2 linked regions of the Caenorhabditis elegans genome follow. The protein of the gene in region 1 purifies or fractionates together with the protein of each later gene. This does not show direct contact. Each region holds a gene or a part of one and is shown on either strand. Other genes may lie near its edges.

Region 1 (7,702 bases):
CTCGTCAGTTCCATCGATTGCTCACTTGGTCGGTGATCTGTCGGACTTTTGCCCACACGCTACAGCCGACGAGAAGATGCTGCTCGACGAGGCGTCTTCAATCATCGAAAATACAACTCCAGCAGTGTCTACTGCTCCGGCTGCTGCTCCAGGAGCTACAATGCTCCAAATATAGGAGAAGATCACATATACAATAATATAATCTTATTGCATTTTCGCAATTCTCGTTCTCTCCACACACATACACACATCATCCCAAGTATTCCTGTGCTGAATCTCAGTTTGAATGATGTTTCATACCGTTTTTATCCCACTATTGCCTTATCGTTTCCTGTTTTATTATATTTTTCATTTTTTATATTGCCACCACCACCACCAACACCACCCTCTCTATCTTTTTTTGTTCTTTTGCCTCCAGCAACATCATCACCTAGTTTTCTGTGAATTTTGAATTTTGTGTTCCCCCGAGTCCCCTCTGATAGGAATGATAGGAAAAACAATGAAAATGCGAGTTTTTTCAAAAAAAAAAATACAAACTAGGAAACTATAGAAACAAAAAAAAAACATTTGAGGCGCAGTACCGAAATCTCTCCAAATTTGGCCCGAAAAATTCAAAAGAAAATATTTATTTTTCTAAATTATTATTTTTCCGCCACTCCAGCCTCATTCTCATTGGAGCGCGCAAAGTCATGTCGATTTACGAGATTAAGATTTTCAACGAGTTTCATCATTGTTATCGATTTTCGTGTAAAGTTAACTAATTTTTTTGAAAATTTTCGCAAAAAATTTTGGATAATAAAATGTTCAATTGGCACGAAAATGCAGATCTTCAGCAAAAAAACCGACAGAAATGTGTAAAACTGAATCTCGTAAATCCACATGGCATAACGCGCTCCAATGAGAATGTTTTTAGCGAAAAGTTTGAACAAAGGAATATCAAATCAGGGCCAAATTTGGAGCAATTTCTAAAATATTTTCTCAATTCTTTCGGTATTCCACATTCAAACAATTATTCGGCCGTTCCCATGAGCCTCTGAATCTCGATGGGATCCCTTGGCACTGCAGCAGTCAACAGCTCAATCCCTCCAGCTTCACTAGTCGCCACGTCATCCTCGATACGGTATCCAATGCCACGAAACTCTTTGACAGGCCAATCCATCGGAACATACACTCCCGGCTCAATGGTAAATGGCACATTCGGTGGTAGATCAATGTCTCGGGATACTGTCGGACAATCGTGAACATCCATTCCGAGATAATGACTGACGTGGTGGGGACACAGCTTCTCCGCCTGATGAATCATCTCCTTGTGATCCGTAGATCGAATCAGGCCGAGTTCGGTGAAACTTGCCGCGAGAAGTTCGTTCATTCGGCGGAACAGGGCGCTTAGGCGGACTTTTTCCATTGAGTGGGCGTAGGTGAGCAGTTCTTCGTGAACGTAGAGAAGCGCTTCGTAGAGGGATAGTTGGGCGTCTGACCAGCTGCAAAAACGAATTTTTTTTTGGGAAGGTTTTTTGAAACGATTTTTCAAATTTCGTTCGAATTATATTAAACTTTATATAAAACGATTATCCACGGATTTCTGGCTTCCCTCATAAATTGGAATGGAAGAGTTTACCGAACTAGGCCATTTTGGCTCGGCCATATCTGGTGCCGCGTCGCGGCTCGATTTTAGTTGTAAAACTAAATGCATTTGTACGTGTGGAGTACACGACTTTCCCACGCGTTGTCCGGCGGGCGATTGTCAATGGAGCGCAAAAAATTCACTGAGGAAGGGGAGAACTCCGTGATTAGCACCGCCTATTTCTCTCACGAATCTATTTCTTCGAAATCTTCTATTTTTTAAAAATCAATTCCTGAATTCTGAAATTCATTATAGCGTAATTTTTTGGGAATTTCACCCTGAATTCCATTTCTACGGAACAACATTTTTTTCTCGAATTTGTGGTGACTCAAATTAGAATTTTCAAAATCTCCAGAAAAAAAATCATTTTTCCTGAATTTTCTGGAGATTTTTAAAGGAATAAAGTGCAAAAAAGACTCTTTTTGAGGCACCACCGAAAGGAGAAAGGAGAACACAAACCACGCCCATTTTTCCGTGCCGCGCGCAAGTTTTTCTGCAAATTTTTATTTTCAAACGAGACAGCGAAACTCCGAAATAACGCATATCGTGTTCTTTATCATCAACGTGTTATTTCGGAGCTTCGTTGTCTCGTTTGAAAATAAAAATTTGCAGAAAAACTTGCGCGCGGCACGGAAAAAATGGGCGTGGTTTCTGTTCTCCTTTTTCACCTGTTCTCCTTTCGGTGGTGCCTCTTCTTTTTTTTTTCTATGTTTAGCGTAATTTTTTAGCCATCTTGGAATAGCCCCGCCCATTTCTCCCACAAATCCATATCTACGAAATCTCGCATTCCAGAATGATTTGTGGTGTCTCAAACGGGAATATTCAAAATTTCTAGAAAAACCCCATTTTTCTTGAATTTTGGCCGAACTTCTGTAATTTCTGAAATTCTGAGAAAAATTTTCATTTGAGTCACCACAAATACTGGAATGCAAGATTTCGTAGAAATAGACTTGTGGGCGAAATCAGCAAAAAATGGGAAAACATTCAATTTTTTTTAATTTTTTGGGGTTTTATCACTAATTTTTAGCACTTACAATCCAGAAATCGGAAAGCAACGTGTCACATCTGACACATAACCATTCAAATCACACCCAGCATCCACGAGAACACATTCCCGGGGATTTAGGTCATTATTTGCGTCCAAATAGTGAATAGTGTTGGCACGAACACCACCGGCAATCACTGGTGGATATGCTTGCATTTCTGATCCACGACGACGTCCTTCAAACTCCAAGAGCCCGCAAATCGCGTTCTCGTTGTGTAGATCACGTGATCCCGATATCATTGAGCTCATTGTCTGGGCTCCCACGTTGCACACGTCACGCATTGAGCTCATTTCGGATGGAGATTTTATTACTCGGCGACGTTCGATCTGCAAGGAAAACTTGAAAATTGGCAAAAAAATAATTTTTTTTTTGAAATTTTAAAACGATTTTTCGGGTGTTCAGAAAAATTTTTTTTAGGAAAAAATTGGAATTTTCCAAAAGTTTCAAAAAAATAATTTCTAGAACTTTTTCCTAAAAAAAAAATGAATATTGAAAGCTTCGAAAACAGTAAAAATTGGGAAAATTTTTTTACCGTTAAAAAATTTTTTTTTTTCGAAAAAAAAATTTTCAGTTTAAAATTTGGAGCGTTTTCAATTTTATTGATAATTGGTGAAACAAAATAAAAAGTAAATAAAAAATTTTTTTTTTGAAAAATTTGAAAAATTAGATTAAAAATGTTTATTCTGGGATGAAAAAAACCTCCTAAAACCATTTTCTGGAAAATTTAAACTTCCTATTTTGTTCAGACAATTCTTTTTTTTCAAGAAAAAATCAAATTTTCCACTAGAAAATCGAAAAAAATTGACCTCGTTTAAAAATTGGACAAAATTTGAATTTTTACTTTGAAATCCTCGAAAATCGGATTTTTTTTTCAAAGCTTGAACAATTTTCTGCAAATTCTATATATCTCTAAACTCACAAAATGATTAATTTCCCGAACAGAATTAGCTTTAGCCTGTACAAACTTATAGAGTAAATCATCAGAAGTCGAATCAAAAAACACTGCAGTTCCCTTATCGCAAACTTTTTCCAAAGTCTGTAGAATCCGGCTAGTCGGCACACATTCCGTGAATTTTGCAGTCTTTTCCCATTCGGATTCAGTTGGTAGGGCGCCTTCCCATAGCTCATCATAGGCACTACGACGGTCAGCAAAAAGAATATTTGTTTCTTTTGAAGATTCGGATATTCCTGATTGCATTATGTAATAACAATCTGGTGTGGTGATTCCGTTTAGGTATCTGCAAAAAAAAAAAATTTTTCAAATTTTTTTCTGTTAAAAATTTAATTTATTTTTTTTATCAAACAATTTTGAATTTTTCCCAAAAAAAATCCGAAAATTGTGAACAAATCTATTATTTTCGTTGAACAAAAAAAAAACAAATTCAATTTTTAAATAATTTAATTTTCGTTCAGAAAAAGAAATTTGTCGATTTTCGGCGGCAATGATTTTTTTTAACGAAATTTTCCTGAAAAATTCAATATTTCAATAATTCCTGATTTTCTAGTTTTTTTTTTAAAGAAGAACATGTTAAATTTCTACTAATTTTATAACAAAAAATTTCGGGAAAATCTAGAATTAAAAAAAAATGTTTTCAGAAAAATTCTACTAATATATTAATTTTAGCTTAAATTTCGATAATTTTAGGTTATTTTTCAATTTTTTTAGGGCGAAATTTTGATTTTCAAAACAAAAATATTTTCTGACAAAAAAATTAATTTTCATTCTTTTTTAGATTTTTTGAAAAATTTTCAATTTTTTTCTGAAGAATTTGGTACTTGTGTATTACATGCCCTCATTTTTAAATTAAATTAAATGTTCATTAATTTCTCCATTTAAATTAAACGTGATATACATTTTCTCTTTTTAGGCTTAGAAATTGCTATTTTGCTACTTAAAAAATTACTATTAAAATGAGGGCATGTAATACACAAGTACCAAGAATTTCAATCAATTCTTGTTTTTGAAATTTTTTTTGGGAAAAATTCCAATTTTCGATTGTTTCTTCGATTTTTTCAGAAAAAAAATTTTCTAAAATTTATTTATTTGTTTGAAAATTGGATCTAAAAAAATTTCTCTAGTTTTTATTTTTTTTCTGGAAAAAGCTTTTTTTAACTTAAAAAGTTAATCTGTGGCCGAGTTTTCTCTCATCATTTTCACGGCCACGGCCATCAAAACCGAACCTGAAATGGCTTTTCTGTCGGAACGCGTGTGGAACATCCGGTGCAATATATGATTTCCGTGCTCCTTTCATCACAACGACCACTTGCTTTTCTGAAACTTTGAGAGGTCATGGCCTAACTTTTAAATGGTTTTCTAGGCCACCATGGTGATTTTATTACGGTACCGGGTCTCGACACGATGAATTTTGTAGAATAAATTTTTCTGAAAAATTTCGTTTTTTTTTTTAGAAAAATCAAATTTTCAAGAAAAATGGGAAAACATTTTTCAGGAAAAATTTAATTTTATAGAGAAAAATAGAATTTTTCCTTTAAAAAAATCTGAAAATTCGGATTTTTGAGAATTCTCTTTATTTGGATTTTAAAATCCAAATTTTCAAAAAAAAATTTAAAAATCGGAAAATTCCAAATTTTTGAGAGTAAACTCGCCTTAATTTTTTTTTTCAATTAAAAAAATTAATTTTTTAAAAGAAAATTGGAATTTTTACCCAAAAATTGGCAATTATTCGAGTTTTCAACGGAAAAATCTGAAAAATCCGAATTTTTGAAAAAAAAATCTTTAAAAATCCCAATATTCAATTAAAAACCGCGAAATTTCGGATTTTTGAGAAAATTTTAATTTAAAAAAGTCCTATTTGTACTGCAAATCCTCATTTCCAAATGATGGCCTAACTTTTTCAGAATTCTAGGCCACCAGGCCATTTCTCTGCCTCTTACCCCCAGTTTTGACCTCTTTTTTGAGTAAATTCATCAAATTCGTCCTTCTCATCGCATATTCCTCATTTGGAATTCGCGATGGCCACATTGGTAGGCTCCGCCCACTTCTGAGCATTTTTTTTTTGGATCTGATCTGTGTGGGAGGGAAATTCGAATTTTTTTAGAAATGAATAAAACTGAAAAAAATAGATTTTTTGGGAAACAGGGAACCTGAATTTTCGAGAGAAAAAAGGAGGTAAAACAAAAAATTCGATTTTATATTGAGCAAAAATTAATAGAAAAAATAAACTTAACAATTATGAACAGAAAAACCTACTAAAAAAGTCTAAAAAATGAATGAAAAATTGCAAAAAAAATCTACAATCGATACGAGACTCCTCCTCCAACAATGCAGTTCTCGCCGGTGATGTACCTGAAAAAAAGTGATTTTTTTTTGAATTTTTAGAAAACAAAATTATGAAAAAAACCAAAAAATTTCCGAATAATCGAAATTTTTCGGAAGTTTTAGGTTAAAAAAATTTTTTTTTGATGAAAAGTTTTTTTTCAACAATTCTGAAAACTAAAAGTACCAAAAAATTTTAGTTTTTTCGATTGTTTCAATATGATAATTTTTTTTAAATGTTTAAAATTGTATTTTTTCAAAAAATATTATCAATTTTCCAATTTTATGGTAATTTTGGATGTGAGATTTTTTTCTTCAAATTTTCGAAACGTTTCTCGATAAAAAAATTTTTCAACTGAAAAACTACAAAAAATCCTCTTATTTTGAAGAAAAATCGATATTTTCTCAAATTGTTCAGATTTTTTCTGTTTTTACCAAAAGTGACCAAATTTTGAGACTTTTCGATCCAATGTTTAAAATTTTTTTCCCGTTTTTTCGATATTTGCGGTTTAAATTTTTTTTAAATTTTTTGATTCAATTTTAATAAGTTTGAGTGTTTTTCGATTTTTTGTCCAAATTTTTTCAAATTTTTTTCCAGAAAATTGGTAGAAGCCAAAAAGTGCGATTTTTTTCCTTAAAAAAGATAATTATTCAGTTTTTCGACTGTTTTCTTCTTGCTTCCAGATTTTTTCTCGAATTTTTTTTATATTTGAATTGTATTTTTAAATATTATACTCCTAATCGATAAAAATTAGTTTTTTTTTCAATTTAAATTGGAAAAGAACGTTCTTTTTCGTAAATTTTAGTGATTTTTGATTCCAAATTTTTGGATTTTTTCAAAAAATTTCCCAGAAAATTTTACCTGGCTTTGGTAGAAGCCAGAAATTCGATTAAATAAGCTTTTTTGGGTTTTTCGACAATTTGTCAAGTTAGGAATTAAACTTTTAAAATTTTTTTCAAAAATTTTAAAAAACTAAAAGTATTTCTGAGAATTTTTCTGAAATTAATTATTCAGTTTTTCGACTGATTTCTGCTTGCTTCCAGATTTTTTCTCGAAGTTTTTATATTTGATTTTTTTAAAAAATACTCTTAATCGAAAAAAATTCATTTTTTGAATTTTTTCGGGACTTTTTTTTTCGAAATTTTCGTAAGTGTTAGTGTTTTTCGATTTTTGATTCTAAATTATTGGATTTCTTCAAAAAATTTTTTCAGAAAATTCTACCTGGCTCTGGTAGAAGCCAGAAATTCGATTGAAGAAGCTTTTTTTTCGGTTTTTTGGACAATTTTCCAAGTTTTAGTTAGGAGTTAAACTTTTTCAAATTTTTTTTGAATTTTTTTCAAAAACTTTAAAAACTAAAAGTATTTCTGAGAATTTTTGAGAAAAGCATTTTTTTTCTCGAATATTTGAACTTTTTAAATTTTTAAAGCTTTTTATTTTTAAATATCAATTCGAATATTTTACTCTTAATCAATGAAAAATCGATTTTTTTGATAATTTTTTTCAAAAAAAAATTCGAATTTGAAATTTTTTTCATTCAGAAAAGGGAATTTGACTATTTGAAAACAATTTTTTGTTGAATTTTTCGTAAATTTGAGTGATTTTCGATTTTTGATTCCAAATTTTTGGATTTTTTTTTGACAATTTTCCAAGTTTTGGTTAGGAGTTAGATTTCTTGGAATTTTTTTTTGAATTTTTTTCAAAAATTTTAAAAACTAAAAGAATTTCTGAGATTTTTTCCTTAAAAAAGAGGAATT
Region 2 (3,542 bases), on another chromosome or scaffold:
TGTTTTTGAACAGAATCTGTTGAATTTATGAAAATATTATCACTAAATTTAGAACACAAACACAGATTGATATAAAATAAATAAATTGAGAAAGCGGTTTAGAAGATCGGAGAACATCAAAAACAGGAGATTTGCAATTTTTCATTTTTTCACATTCGCTGGCTGAATCCGAAAGTACGACCAATGCTTGAAAGGTAGTAACGATCGAGTCCTTGTTGAGTTTCTTCAGCGAGATGAGTTGGAACATCTTTAGCGATGATTTTGATATCCGTTCCAGATCCCTAGAATTTATTATAATAGAAGGTTTATCCTCGTTTGTTCTAAAACTTACAGTATCTTTCAACTGGAAATGGATGGTTGCATGATGATTGTTTGGATACTTTTTCAGTCGCCATTTCTTCACAATCTCCTTGTTCGGCTCAATCTTCTCGAATGTTCCAGTCACGTTTTCCCCGAACAATGCAAATGATCCTCCTTCCTTGAAATTCCACTCTCCGATCGAATTGTTTGTCCATCCACGAACGAATTGAGTCTCTGTGAGCGCCTCGAAAACTCTATCCGGTGTGGCCTTGTAGGTATCGGAAGTTGAAACCTCTTTGGTGGAGAACACTTCATTTCCAGAAGTGGAAGCGTCCTTTTCCGCGACAACAGTGTTTTGGAACTGACGTTTGTCAACGACTGAAGTCTTTCCAGTAGTAACGACTTGTGGCTTCACTTTATCAGTTGGCAGAATGAGACCCTTGCTGAATTCTTCCTTCAATTCACGGATATAGATTCCCATAACATCTTGAATCTTTGCAATGAACGATTTGTTAAGAACTTGGCGGATTTGATGAGCCATTGGGCCATTTCCACTCAATGACGAATTCACATCCACTTCGGATGCATCGTTCTCATCACTCAAGTTTGGGATATCGAAAGTTCCTTTATATTCGTCTTCACTGCCAGAAACACGAGCAATGAATGTTCCTTCGATAACCCATTCAAAAAGGAAGATGAGCTTAGCCTTCCGGTTGTTTGCCGTTGCTTCTCCGTCGATCTTTTTGATCTCATCGATTGTCACGACAATTGGGCCATCCTGAAAACGAATACTCTTAATACGATCTTGTTCAACTATTAATTATACCTCGGACGAAAATCCGGTGAGAAGTTCACGGAGTCGGTTCAAAGACCACGGGGTTGCATTCTTCTCCGACCTAAAACATACTTATTCAGCTCAAAGCTATGACTTCAATCGAGACCCACCAATGCCAATTGTTTACGTTTGTTGCATCGGCTCGTTCTTCAACAATCCAGCGTGGATCTCCTTCTCCCCACTTGGCCATTTAAATTCCCTGAAATTAATTTAAGTCAGTTTATCGAGATTTTTAAGGTGAACATCAAGCCAGATTAAGTCGTTTTGTACTTAAAACAATGGAATTTCAATTTAAAACTTGAAAATAAATATTTAACGTTGAAATCAAAACAAGAAATCTTTGAAATTTCGTTGAAAACAGGAGAAACTCAATTAATTTCGAGAAAATTCATGAAAAATGGAAGAAACTAGGCCAGCAGGCCACGACCGCTTATCAATAGGGCGAGCTTGCATTGCAATTTTTGTGTGGATTTACGCACGTAATTGGTTATTTATTTTTGTTTTTTTTTTTCAGATTTTACGTTACACATTTTTTTAAAATAAATTAATTTTTTCAATTTCAGAAAAATGCTTCCTAAAACGATAATTAGGCACATCTCACAGTTTGCCGGAGTTCGGGACGCAGCAAAGTATGTTCCAAGACGTGCACTTCTATACGTTCCAGCCAGCAATCAAAAAATGCTGGATAAAGTTCCAATGATGCAAGCGGATTCAGTAGTTTTGGAGCTAGAAGATGGCGTTGCTCTGACGGCTAAAGCTGATGCTAGAGTTCGAGTACGTGAAAAGTAATTGGAAATTTGTCTACAATTTGAGTTTTCAGGCTGCGGCGGCTCTTGATAAACTGCCATATCACACATTGGCATGCCAGGAGCTTGGTCTACGTGTCAATTCTGTAAGCAGTGGTCTTCTCGAAGATGATATCATTGTAAGATTTATTTTTGAATTTTTCAAACTTTATCCTCACGAATTTTTTAATTTCAGGCAGTATCGAAAGCTGAAAAGTTGCCACAAGCATTTATGATTCCGAAAGTAGACTGCCCTGAAGACCTTGTCACCATCTACAACATCTTCCGTGAACACTACGGAGATGAACGGATCACAAACACGAACACTCGGCTTGTTATCTGGATCGAATCTGCACGAGCTCTTCTGGATATGCCACGAATAGTCTCATCAACTCTAAATCTTCATAAACAAGCCGGATTCTTCAAGCTAGATGCAGTTGTCTTTGGATCAGACGATTTCTGTGCAGATATCGGAGCTACACGAAGCTCTCACGGCACTGAAACCCTATTCGCTCGACAGAAATTTGTGACTTGCTGTAAAGCATTCCAACTTCAAGCAATCGACAGTGTCTACATAGATATCAAGGATCTTGACGGTCTCCGTCGTCAGTCTGCAGAAGGGTGGCAGTGGGGTTTCACTGGAAAACAAGTCATTCATCCAAGTCAAGTGTCTGTGGTCCAGGAGCAATTTCTGCCTCCGAAGGATCGAATCGAATGGGCTCAGGAGCTGGTCCACGCTTACAGTGAGCACGAGGCATTAGGAAAAGGAGCTTTCCAGTTTAGAGGACAAATGATCGATCGACCACTTCTGCTGCAGGCATTGAATATTATTCAGCTCGTGGAGAGAGTTCAGAATTAAATTCTAAATTCTAAATGTTGTAAAACTTTTTATGTACATTTTTAAATATAGCTCTAGTTGCCAGTGTAATATAATAAAAACGAGTAATTTTAAAATTTCTTTATTTGTTCAAATTCAGACAAATCACTTCTTTCCATAAGTCAAGTAATAAGTAGTGTATCCATTGCTGTTGCTCGGGTAGTAGTAAGTGTATCCATTATTGTTACTGCAGCCGGAGCAACCATTATTGTATCCATTGTTATCGTAATAGTAATAAGTTTGACCATTATTGTTATTATTATTATTATTCGGGTAGTAGTAATAAGTCGTGTATCCGTTATTGTTATTGTTGTTGTAACCGTTGTTCGGGTAGTAATAGTAGAGCTGAAACAAAAAAATGGGAATCAGATAATCAATAGGAACTTACATAATAAGCGTTGGCAGTGGAGAAAAGCACGAGAAGAGTGGCGATCAGTGTAAGGAATCTCATTTTCTAGGAGAGATCAAAGCGAAGTTTATGTTTTCCCCTCTTTACTCGAATCTTTTATACACTTTTACCCTACTCAACATCAAGCTCCACCTCCGTGGCTCCCTTTTGATCTCTCTCTCTTTCAAGAGAAGGGCTAACAGTTTACCAACTCTCAAAAGACTACACATTCCTTTTAATCCTTAACTTTGCTCTTTTTCGGCTTCTTTTCGACCAGAGGAGAGAGGTAACAAGGAGACAATTGTTTGTCTTTTGAGTGCCCCCAATGGCATCCACTATCACTCCACGCCCTTCCAA

Evidence for each region.
Region 2: the proteins of icpp-55 (region 1) and C01G10.7 fractionate together in Caenorhabditis elegans (co-fractionation; one large-scale study listed by BioGRID). This does not show direct contact.

The regions. Positions count from the first base shown.
Region 1 is NC_003279.8:367,766-375,467, forward strand, and holds icpp-55 (Aminopeptidase P N-terminal domain-containing protein), read right to left. Parts: upstream 5,681-7,702; coding exon 5,566-5,680; intron 4,949-5,565; coding exon 4,852-4,948; intron 3,909-4,851; coding exon 3,590-3,908; intron 2,997-3,589; coding exon 2,659-2,996; intron 1,482-2,658; coding exon 1,010-1,481; 3' UTR 736-1,009; downstream 1-735. Other genes in the region: rnp-8 (RRM domain-containing protein), read left to right, coding at 1-175; R119.3 (DeHydrogenases, Short chain), read right to left, coding at 5,923-5,977.
Region 2 is NC_003283.11:15,084,049-15,087,590, forward strand, and holds C01G10.7 (Citramalyl-CoA lyase, mitochondrial), read left to right. Parts: upstream 1-1,698; 5' UTR 1,699-1,702; coding exon 1,703-1,909; intron 1,910-1,955; coding exon 1,956-2,060; intron 2,061-2,116; coding exon 2,117-2,779; 3' UTR 2,780-2,870; downstream 2,871-3,542. Other genes in the region: ahsa-1 (Activator of Hsp90 ATPase AHSA1-like N-terminal domain-containing protein), read right to left, coding at 150-281, 332-1,078, 1,127-1,196, 1,246-1,325; C01G10.15 (FIP (Fungus-Induced Protein) Related), read right to left, coding at 2,903-3,142, 3,186-3,248.